Mus musculus: one gene and its partners. The protein of the gene in region 1 interacts with the protein of each later gene in a pairwise test. Links are inferred from orthologs where the notes say so. Each region holds a gene or a part of one and is shown in the gene's direction. Other genes may lie near its edges.

Region 1 (3,176 bases):
CGTTTGCTAAGAACGTTCTTCTAAGAGACAAATGTGATTTCCTTGGGGATGATAGGTAGATAAGCTTACACCATCAGCCTTGCTTGGATTTCCAAGGTCACAATTAAGATTTTGGTCAAAAGGTGGCTTTTTTTTTTTTCCAGCCTTTGAATTATGCCCTGTTAAGTCTTTGCTGGACAACTTCCTCCTTGGCTTAAAGTGCATTAATTAAGCCTTAGTTTGTTGCCCTCAGGAAATCCCTTGAGGAAAAGAAAATGTTGGAAGAAGAGAGAAATCGGATCCTAACTAAACAGAAGCAAAGAATGAAAGACTTGCAGAAACTGCTGGCAACCCGGGTTAAGGCTTATGGCTCCCACCAGAGCTTGTCTCAGATAGTTAAAGCCAGGGTGAAGGAGCTCAGGTACCACGGAAGAGCCTGGGAACGCCAACATCAGCTGCCAAACTCCCTTTCCTTCCCTTTCCTTTCCTTTCCTTCCCTTTCCTTTCCTTTCCTTTCCTTTCCTTTCCTTTCCTTTCCTTTCCTTTCCTTTCCTTTCCTTTCCTTTCCTTTCCTCCTGCTTAACTAGTGGATACCTAGATATGAAAATACTATGGCATCTTAATTTATGGATTTAAATAATCTTTGGCTGTTCCTACTCAACTGTTACATATATGCACACATATACATCTTATAATGACAGTCAGTGTATTTACTTACCTCCATAGCGAGAACCATGAGACCATGTGGAACAGAAATGGCTTTGTTATGGTCATAGTTAGTAATTGCTTAAAAACCAGCACAAAACCTTATTTATGCAAGTGTGTTCTTATTTATAAATTATGTAAATATTTGGCATATATACATGCATTGCATACATACATTATACATACATACATATGTACATTATACATCTGGTGCTGGGGGCTGGGCATGTGAGGACCAAAGCCAGGATCTTGTACACAGACTGGCTGATCTGGATAAGTCAGGGAGTTCTGTTCGAAGTTTGTACCAAATACAACAGTTTGAGTGGATGCATGGTGGGTACATGCTGCCCCTCATGACTGATAGCAGCCACAGAACACCTACAGTCCTTTACAGAATACTACTAGAATTCTATAAAGCAGAGTCTGAAAACCAGCATTCCAAACATTGCACATAAAAATGGTCATGCTTAAGCAAGAAAAGGCCCTCCAAAGCTGGGTAAGTAATATGACTTATTAACTTTTAAGATCCAAATACGTACATCTATTTTATCACTGAGCCTTCCTTTACAGTATAGGATCAGCCCACTAATAGAGCCGAGTTTGATGAACTTGAGCAAAAAATTCCTTAGGAATACAGTATTTGCCTGTAGGAAGTTGAATACCAACTTACTTTGAGTAAGCATAATTTTTGTAAAGTATAATTATTTTCCGTACCCATGAAACTCTCTTGTCTTGGTTGCTTCTAGTATATCTTATACAGAGGAAAACAAAACAAAACAAAACAAAACAAAACAAAACAAAAAAACAGTGAAGTTTAATTCATTGTGGGATCTGGTCCAGAGGATGAGCACAGCGAGGTTCATGCTTTTGGCTCTGCCCTCAGTTGCTACATTCTCATGAGCCCCACTTTCTCTCTTACCTACTCCCACTTAATTAATGTTGCCACTGCCCACTAGGTGATCTCATTTAGGGAAAGAAGAAAAGCAGGGTCTTTTTATTTTGGTGTTTGAAACAAGGTTTCTCTGTGTACCCTGGGCTGCCCTAAGAACTAGCTCTGTAGGCCAGGCTCGTCCCACACTGGGATATCTGCCTGCTTCTGCCCCAGAGTTTTGGGACTAAAGGTTTGTGCCACAACTGACCAGTTTCAGGGTCTTGTTTTTGAAAGAATATTTTTTAAGATACCCATTTGGACCAGACTTTCTTGCTTTTGTATACTTTTATATAAAACACTTTTTCAGGCAAGACTGAAGTCTTTTTGCCTTGAAGACTTTGGAAATCAAAATGACCAGACCATTCCCAGGGCAGTACACTGTGTTTCTTCAAAACCTGGGCTTTTTATTCTGGATTTATGAAAATCTTGCCAGTCTAGAAAAGGAACTGGGCTGAGCTGTGCTCTCACTTCCTGGTTTGTCTTCTGAGGTGAATGTCCTAGGAGAGCTTCCGTAGCTGACCTTTAAAATGCCACTCTCTTTATCTGGTTCTAGAAGGAGTGAAAAGGCCAGGATGAGAGAATATTGGCAAGAACTGGAGGAACAAGAGGAAAAACTGCAGAAGAGGCCGATGTTGTTTGAAAGAGTCACCCAGGTTGTGTTTATTGGTTAGGGCCATCACCAGCTTTCTGTTTCTCAGTACTTCTGGCCTCCACCTTTGTGCTCCGTCTTACGGTGTCCTACAGTTGCCAAGACATGATGTTTCTGGGGCGGCTTCATCCAGTCCACCAAGAAAGTAATTTCACTTAAGATGTGACAACGCTTGTAGCTCAATAAAGAACATGTCACTAACCCCATGTACCTCAAGACATTCCTGACACGGTTTGCTTTAGAGTCTGGTCTTTTTAGTCAGATTCTGTTGAGGCTTCGGGATATCATGGGGAGGTCTTTATGAATTCAACCACTGGGTGTATGACCATTGTATGCAACATAGTGAGACCGTCTCTTAAAAGCACTTTAAATTGGGTATTTCGTTAGTTACTTAGTTAGATTACTTGTGTGTGAGTGTTTTGTGTAGGCACCATGTGCATTTCTACCCACAGACATCAGAGGTATTGGATACCGTAGAACTATAGTTGTGAGCTACCATGTGAGTGCTGGGAATTGAACCTAAGCCCTCTATAGAAATAAGTGCTCTTAACTACTGAGCCATCTCAAGGCCTAAAAGCATTAAAAAACCAAAGCAAATCTCTCTGCTTCACCATCCTCCTTAGCACGGTCCTTCCTCCCGTGGAGGCCTTTCACTCCCAAGTTCAATGGTGATCTCAAGGGGGTCTCATGATTAACCTCCCCAGTCGTATTGCCTCAGGATGGGGGTGGGTAATCATATCACAGATGGAAAGACTCAAGTTCAAAGGAGGTGAGTAGTGAGGTGTATGGTTAGTAAATGGTAAAGCTAGGATCAGAACCCACGCTGATCTGCTTCCCTTAATCCTTTCACAAAAGAGGAACTTGTAAGCCACAGAGCAGTATATAAGGCCCCTCCGTGCTTTGTGTCAACCT
Region 2 (3,600 bases), on another chromosome or scaffold:
CATGACTCTCTTCTACATGCTTAGAAACTAGCACGCTTTTCACCCACCCCCGTCCCTCATCACTTATGCTTGGCCGTCCTTCCAAACACATCTATTTTCCTGGGTCAGGTGCTCGGGTGCTCACCCTTTACGTAAACAGAAAGTTCCCCCGCTCCGGATACCAGATAATATCAAACTCTCAGCTCTCAGATTGTTTCCTTTAGACCCCAGGCTGAGTGCAGTCCCAAGGGTCCATTCCTTCACCAGTCCCCTAGATCTCTGGGCACAATACGTGACAACAGGAGGAAAGCTTGTCACATTGCCCGGATATCTCTTTCTAGACATTAGATGCGTACGTCCTATGAGACATACACACCTTTCATGCACACAGCTTTGTAAATGTATTTCTAAGCTACGAGCACGGCGCCTACACTAAAATGGCCCTCGGAGGCCACCATCCTGGGACACTACAGTCACCCGCTGCAGCGACTTCCGGTTCGAGGGGTGGGAGGATACTACATGCGGAAGTGCAAGGGGGGAGGTCGAGCGTCGCCATGGGGGCTCCGTTCCACTCCGCACAGCGTGCAGTAAAGAAGTGGCTCTGAAGCTCGGTTGAAAGTACCGGCCCGCGCCTCTGGAAGCGGTAGACGCCGGAGTTCGAGGGCGAACGCTTGGCCACCCTCGGAAACCCGGGCCGCGGGCGCGAAAAACCCTTACCCACTGCGCGCGCGTCGGCTTCCTCCCGGCCCCGCCCTTCTTCTGGGTCACGTGACTCGCGGCGCTCTCAAGCCCCGGATGTGGGTGAGTCCAAGCGCTGCGGCAGGGGGCGGGACGGACAGCGATTTGTTGTGACTTGCGCGCATCCCCGGCCGGAGGAACGGCGGGCAGGCCCGGGGGCGCGCTCCGCCGGAGGCGCGCTCTGCCGGGGGCGCGCTCTGTAACCGACCGCATGCCCCAAAGACGGGCGAGCTGCGGCTAACTGTGGTGCGGTCTCGGCCCTGGCCACGGTGGTGCCGCTAGGCTCCAGGCCTCATGGCCCGCGGCCGCAGCTCGTTGCGGCCCACCTGCCGCGGGGCTTTCCAATGCCGGGTTGCGGCTGCCCGGTCGTCGCGCCCCTGGGTTCCTCCTCCTCCCTATGGGACTCTGGGCTGGCCGGCCAGGTGCTTCGGCCTGCGGGAGGGCGGGCTGCGGGCTGTGGGCTGCATGGCTCCCGGGAAGGGACCCGGCTGCTGCTGCTGCCGCCGGTGTAGGACCAGGCCTTAGCGTTAGCCGCCCAGCGGGAAGCCCGCAGGGTTCCTTGGTGATGTTAGTATGAGAGGTGCGGAAATGTGGCGGGAACCCCTGATGGCAGGGGAATTGCAGATGGCTTCACGCTTTCAAGTCAAGCATAGGAAACAAGATTGGTGGAGTGAAAGTTTGGAAAGGGGAATTCCACAACAGCGCTTTCACGCGGAGACACTTGACAGTGAATGGGCTTTTGTCCTTTACAAAATCGTGGAGTTAGTGCATTCTGATGTCAGACCTAGTTTTCATTTACAGACTGTAGACTTGTTGCCAAAAGTGCTCCCCATTCTCCCCAACTAGCGCTGGCTCTCCTTTGTAGCTATGATCTGGAACTTGCAGTGTAGACCAGGCTGGCCTCAAACTCAGAGATGGGCCTACCTATGTCTCCTAATTAAGGATCCGCGCCACCTCGCCTGGCTTTCTTGAGGCCAATTTAGAGTTTCAAAAATGTATTACTTTATTATAGCTCTTTGTACAACTCGAATATTTGTATTTTATATTTTGTATGTAAGTCAGAGATCAATGGCTATAGTTATCTTTAGCTTTTTACACTTTTTTTTTTTGTTTTGTTTTTCGAGACAGGGTTTCTCTGTGTAGCCCTGGCTGTTCTGGAACTCACTCTGTAGACCAGGCTGTCCTCGAACTCAGAAATCCGCCTGCCTCTGCCTCCCGAGTGCTGGGATTAAAGGCGTGCGCCACCACGCCCGGCTTTTACACTTATTCTTAAAGGCTGCAGCTTAACGATATGATGAAACGAATTATCTTATTTGGAATGCAGCGCCATTTTTAGGTTAATTTTTGTCCCGTGCTCTCTGTCTTTTACTGTGTCGTCCTCAGTGGTCAGTATAGTAAAGGAGGCTGCGAAACTAAAGAGGGTTAGAGACTTAAACCACAGACACATGTCCCTTTAAAATGTGTATATGCTGAAGTTTCAGAAACAATGGAGATATTGTTAATCATGCTGCTGCTGCTTCCTCCCGTGGAGCGGTAGGGACCGGTTACTTAGGCTTTCCTGTACTGTGTGGTGGCTGATGGTGACAGCATTAGTCCACACTGTCATAGCTTAAGGTGCTCCCCATGCCAAAGGCTAGAGTTGCTTTTTTAAGTTTTACAAAAACCACAGTACTATTTTTACATCAGTACAAATTTATAAAAAGCACACAGTGTCAGTGTCCGGTGAGTTCAGGTTCTTCAGCTATTCCATATGTGCTTGTAATACCAAAGTTGTAGACTTGTAGACCAAAGTCCTACAGAGAACTGTCAGCTGCATTCGGTTGCTAGGCCTTCAAAACCCTCTAATCAATAATCAAAACCCTCAATTTCTTTCTTTCATATATATACATATATATTATATACATGTATTATATGTGTATATATGATATTTTCTTTATTTACATTTCAAATGTTATCCCCTTTCCTAGTTTCCCCTCTGAAAATCCCCTATTTCTCCCCCCCCCCCAAGCAGGTTCTTACCTCCCGTTTCTTTATCACTCAGGTTTAGCTGGTTGTATATATTTTTGAATTTATGCCTCTACCTCTTCTATGACCTCTCCTTCACTGGCTAAATCTTGAACTACACTATCCAGTGTGGCAGTCATCAGCCAGCCCTGACATTTTAAATGAACTGTTTGGTTCCCCAGATGCATTAGCCACATTGGAAATGCCCAGCACACACAGGCTGCCTAGTGGCTATTGTCTGATTAATACTGATAAGATGTTTCCATAATTACAGAAAGTTCTGTTGCAATACAATGATCTTTTGAAATACAGTGTTAGATTCAGCCTTGATTTTTGATGGCAGGTACAAGAAAACTCAAAGGTATAGGTTTTATATTATAAAAATTATCTGTTGCGTTCATTGTCAGGGAGACTTGTAATGTCTGAGTCACCCCACTAGGGATGTTAGAATTAAGCTGTGTATGTCGGGGTTCCTGTGCTGTTTGCTCAGTTGAGCCACCATGAAATTGCCCAAGAGCCTTTGGTCAATAGGGAGCTCTTCATGGCTAATAGTGCCTGGGCCGATTACTGAGTGAGAGCCACCGTGGTGCTTTCTAGTGGCGTCATGTGCCCAGTGCTGCTTAGCTGGCACTCTTATGATGAACTTGCCTTCCGCAGCTGACTATCCTGAAGTACAGTTTGTACAGGAATGGCAAGCAAAATGCTTAACTCCGTTCCTTTCTTTTCAGACTACAGCAATGAATTGGTGGCCTAGCAACCTCCAAAGGTAACCCAAGGGCTCCACCTTAAAACAAACAGATAGACTTGAATGTGTTTAAATCTGTGACGTAGCAACCTCCAAAAGTAACCCAAGGGCTTTATCTTAAAAACCAACCAACC
Region 3 (3,728 bases), on another chromosome or scaffold:
GGACAGGTCACTGAGCTCTGGTCCTTGGTGTCTGGATGTGGTCAGCTTCTTATGTTACGAAAACAGTTCCATCCTGACTCTGGGCCCTCACCTGATGCCCTTCACCCTTATTCCCATTCATGTGTCCCAGGGGCAGCATTGGCATCAGGCACACCCACTCACTGTCACCCTGAAGCGTGCTGTACTCCCCTGGGCAGACTGCACCCCCAGCCAGCTGACCTTTGATTCTGATTAAGCCTGCAGGTACTGGGAGCAGGTGCTTGCCTTGCTGTGGCCTCGGTTTGAGCTGATCCTGGAGATGAATGTCCAGAGTGTCCGCAGCACTGACCCCCAGCGCCTTGGGGGACTGGACACTCGGCCCCACTATGTAAGGGCGAGCAAGGTTAATAAGGGGGTCTGTGGTCACACTGAGTGGTGGGTGGGTACTGCCGAAGGAGTCAACTTAGGCAGACAACATCTGTTCTGACTGGTGACAGAACTTGCAGGGGTATCTGAGGGTTGTATCTCCCAGTCAGGCAGGTGTGAGCCTTCCCTTCTTGCTCCCAGATCACACGCCGCTATGCTGAGTTCTCCTCTGCACTTGTCAGCATCAACCAGACGATCCCCAATGAACGCACGCTGCAGCTCCTGGGACAGCTCCAGGTATAGCTAGGCAGGACATATTTGCCAGCAGAGGGACGGGACCTGTGTCCTTGCTTTCTAACCTGCTGCTTTCATTTGGCTTGTGCAGGTGGAGGTGGAGAATTTTGTCCTCCGAGTGGCTGCAGAGTTCTCCTCCAGGAAGGAGCAGCTTGTGTTTCTGATCAACAACTATGACATGATGCTCGGGGTGCTGATGGTAATGCTGCTCCTCCCACGGGGGTCCCTACAGCTTGTGAGCTCTGCCTGAGCTCAGCGCTTTACCCCTGGATGCTGGCAGTGTCCACATCATGGAAAGAAGGGGAAGTGATGGCAACAGTGAAGGTTCCCAAGCTCCTGACTCCTCTTGTCTTCCTTAGGAGCGGGCTGCTGATGACAGCAAAGAGGTGGAAAGTTTCCAGCAGCTGCTCAATGCTCGGACACAGGTAGGGCCTGGGTGCAGCAGGAAGACTGCGATGCTGTTGGACTGACCTCTGTGTGCAGTCATGAGTACAACCCACTGCCTTGTTGCTAGTCTATTTCATTTAACTTTTTCAAGGTACTAATAGTTTAGAAGCAACATAGAACTATACCTATTTATGTATGCATGTGTGTGTACTATAGCTACATGTATGTATGCATGTGTGTGCATGTACTATAGCCCTGTGTGTATGTGTGTGTGTGTGCACTATAGCCCTGTGTGTATGTGTGTGCATGCACTATAGCCCTGTGTGTATGTGTGTGTGCACTATAGCCTTTTGTGTATGTGTGTGCATCCACTATAGCCCTGTGTGTATGTGTGCGCACTATAGCCCTGTATATGTGTGTGTGTGTGTGTGTACTATAGCCCTGTGTATATGTGTGTGTGCACTATAGCCTTGTGTGTATGTGTGTGTGTGCACTATAGCCCTGAGTGTATGTGCACTATAGCCCTGTGTGTATGTGTGTGTGTGCATGCACTATAGCCCTGTGTGTATGTGTGTGTGTGCACTATACCTCTGTGTGTATGTTTGTGTGTGTGTGCATGTATTATAGCCCTGTGTGTATGTGTGTGTGTGCATGCACTATAGCCCTGTGTGTATGTGTGTGTGTGCACTATAGCTCTGTGTGTATGTGTGTGTGGGTGCATGCACTATAGCCCTGTGTGTATGTGTGTGTGTGTGCATGCACTGTAGCCCTGTGTGTATGTGTGTGTGTGCATGCACTATAGCCCTGTGTGTATGTGTGTGTGTGCATGCACTATAGCCCTGTGTGTATGTGTGTGTGTGTGCATGCACTGTAGCCCTGTGTATATGTGTGTGTGTGCATGTACTATAGCCCTATGTGTATGTGTGTGTGTGTGCATGCACTATAGCCTTGTGTGTATGTGTGTATGTGTGCACTATAGCCTTGTGTGTATGTGTGTGTGTGCACTATAGCTCTGTATGTTTGTGTGTTTGTGCATGTACTATAGCCCTGTGTGTATGTTTGTGTGTTTGTGCATGTACTATAGCCCTGTGTGTATGTGTGTGTGTGCATGCACGATAGCCCTGTGTGTATGTGTGTGTGTGCACTATAGCCCTGTGTGTATGTGTGTGTGTGTGCATGCACTGTAGCCCTGTGTGTATGTGTGTGTGTGTTATTCGACGCGTTCTCACGACCGGCCAGGAAGAACACAACAACCAGAATCTTCTACGGCAAAGCTTTATTGCTTACATCTTTATGGGGCCAGAGTGTAAGAAGCAAGAGAGAGAGAAAACGAAACCCCCTTCCCTCTTTAAAGAGAACAACAATTGCCTAGGACGCATCACTCCCTGATTGGCTGCAGCCCATGGCCGAGCTGACGTTCACGGGAAAAACAGAGTACAAGTAGTCGTAAATACCCTTGGCTCATGCGCAGATTATTTGTTTACCAACTTAGAACACAGGATGTCAGCGCCATCTTGTGACGGCGAATGTGGGGGCGGCTTCCCACATGTGTGTGCATGCACTATAGCCCTGTGTGTATGTGTGTGTGTGCACTATAGCTCTGTATGTTTGTGTGTTTGTGCATGTACTATAGCCCTGTGTGTATGTTTGTGTGTTTGTGCATGTACTATAGCCCTGTGTGTATGTGTGTGTGTGCATGCACTATAGCCCTGTGTGTATGTGCATTCTGCTTTGCAGGGAACTGTTTGTGTGTGTGCACATGTAAGCTCACACAGGCACATCTGAAGCTCATGGAGGTCAGAGGTCACAACTTCTAGGTCACAACTTCTTTTCTTGCTTCTTCGACCTTGTGTTCTGGGGACCAGTGGAAAGCACTGTTCCCTGATGAGCCAGCATACTGGATCTTGGTTCTGGAGAAAACCCTTGGGGACATCCCCTGCAACTTGTGACATCACCACCTAAGGTGGAAGGCTCACAGAGACTGCTGTCTGGCGGGTCATTAGACGTCCCTGTGCAGAATGGGGGTCCTTTGCTCCCAGGAGTCTGACCCTGTGTGTGCTTGCACTTCTCTCTAGGAGTTCATTGAGGAGCTGCTGTCTCCCCCCTTCGGGGGTCTGGTGGCATTCGTGAAGGAGGCTGAAGCCTTGATTGAGCGTGGGCAGGCTGAGCGGCTCCGAGGGGAGGAAGGTATCTGATGTCCTGGTGCAGTAGGTAGTGGGAATTAGGGACAGTGAGCGGGGGTGGAGGGGGTGGGGGGGTGGGAGTGGGGAGTCACAGGGGAGGCAACGCAGCAAGGAAGACTTGGCTGGAAGAACACCAAGAAAGCCAGGCTTGATGGTGAGCACAGATGTGCCCAGGGCAGGCCTTGCTGGGTCACCAGCCCTGGTTGCTCTGTGCCTGGTGGACGGTAACCAGACCTGGAGCTCTCTGACACACCTTTTCCTCTGGCGGTCAGCCCGAGTCACTCAGCTGATCCGTGGCTTTGGTAGTTCCTGGAAGGCATCAGTGGAGTCCCTGAGTCAGGATGTAATGCGAAGTTTTACCAACTTCCGAAATGGAACCAGCATCATCCAGGTGACCGGCCACTCCCACCCTTTGCCTGTGTCCTAAGGTTGTCTATTTCCTCGCTCTTTCCCCTGGGCTCCGCATCACACAAACGCCTTGAAGGCCAACAAGCATCTGTGCCTGAGATTCTGGTGAAG

The links.
Region 2: the proteins of Fam161a (region 1) and Cep63 interact in binary tests that used the Homo sapiens proteins (3 or more experiments, as listed by UniProt). The two-hybrid records come from large-scale screens. The link is inferred for Mus musculus from reciprocal best matches to the Homo sapiens genes FAM161A and CEP63.
Region 3: the proteins of Fam161a (region 1) and Vps52 interact in binary tests that used the Homo sapiens proteins (3 or more experiments, as listed by UniProt). The link is inferred for Mus musculus from reciprocal best matches to the Homo sapiens genes FAM161A and VPS52.

What each region holds. Positions count from the first base shown.
Region 1 is NC_000077.6:23,021,262-23,024,437, forward strand, and holds the end of Fam161a (protein FAM161A), read left to right. Parts: intron 1-232; coding exon of another isoform or gene 233-400; exon of another isoform or gene 401-1,180; intron 1,181-2,168; coding exon 2,169-2,286; 3' UTR 2,287-2,481; downstream 2,482-3,176. UniProt on the Homo sapiens protein: Involved in ciliogenesis.
Region 2 is NC_000075.6:102,623,443-102,627,042, reverse strand, and holds the start of Cep63 (centrosomal protein of 63 kDa), read left to right. Parts: upstream 1-918; 5' UTR 919-1,011; coding exon of another isoform or gene 1,012-1,061; coding exon 1,062-1,139; intron 1,140-1,145; exon of another isoform or gene 1,146-3,356; coding exon of another isoform or gene 3,357-3,449; coding exon 3,450-3,487; intron 3,488-3,600. UniProt on the Homo sapiens protein: Required for normal spindle assembly.
Region 3 is NC_000083.6:33,962,180-33,965,907, forward strand, and holds part of Vps52 (vacuolar protein sorting-associated protein 52 homolog), read left to right. Parts: coding exon 1-6; intron 7-236; exon of another isoform or gene 237-243; coding exon 244-367; coding exon of another isoform or gene 368-382; intron 383-546; coding exon 547-642; intron 643-730; coding exon 731-838; intron 839-998; coding exon 999-1,064; intron 1,065-3,101; coding exon 3,102-3,213; intron 3,214-3,481; coding exon 3,482-3,600; intron 3,601-3,728. UniProt on the Homo sapiens protein: Acts as a component of the GARP complex that is involved in retrograde transport from early and late endosomes to the trans-Golgi network (TGN).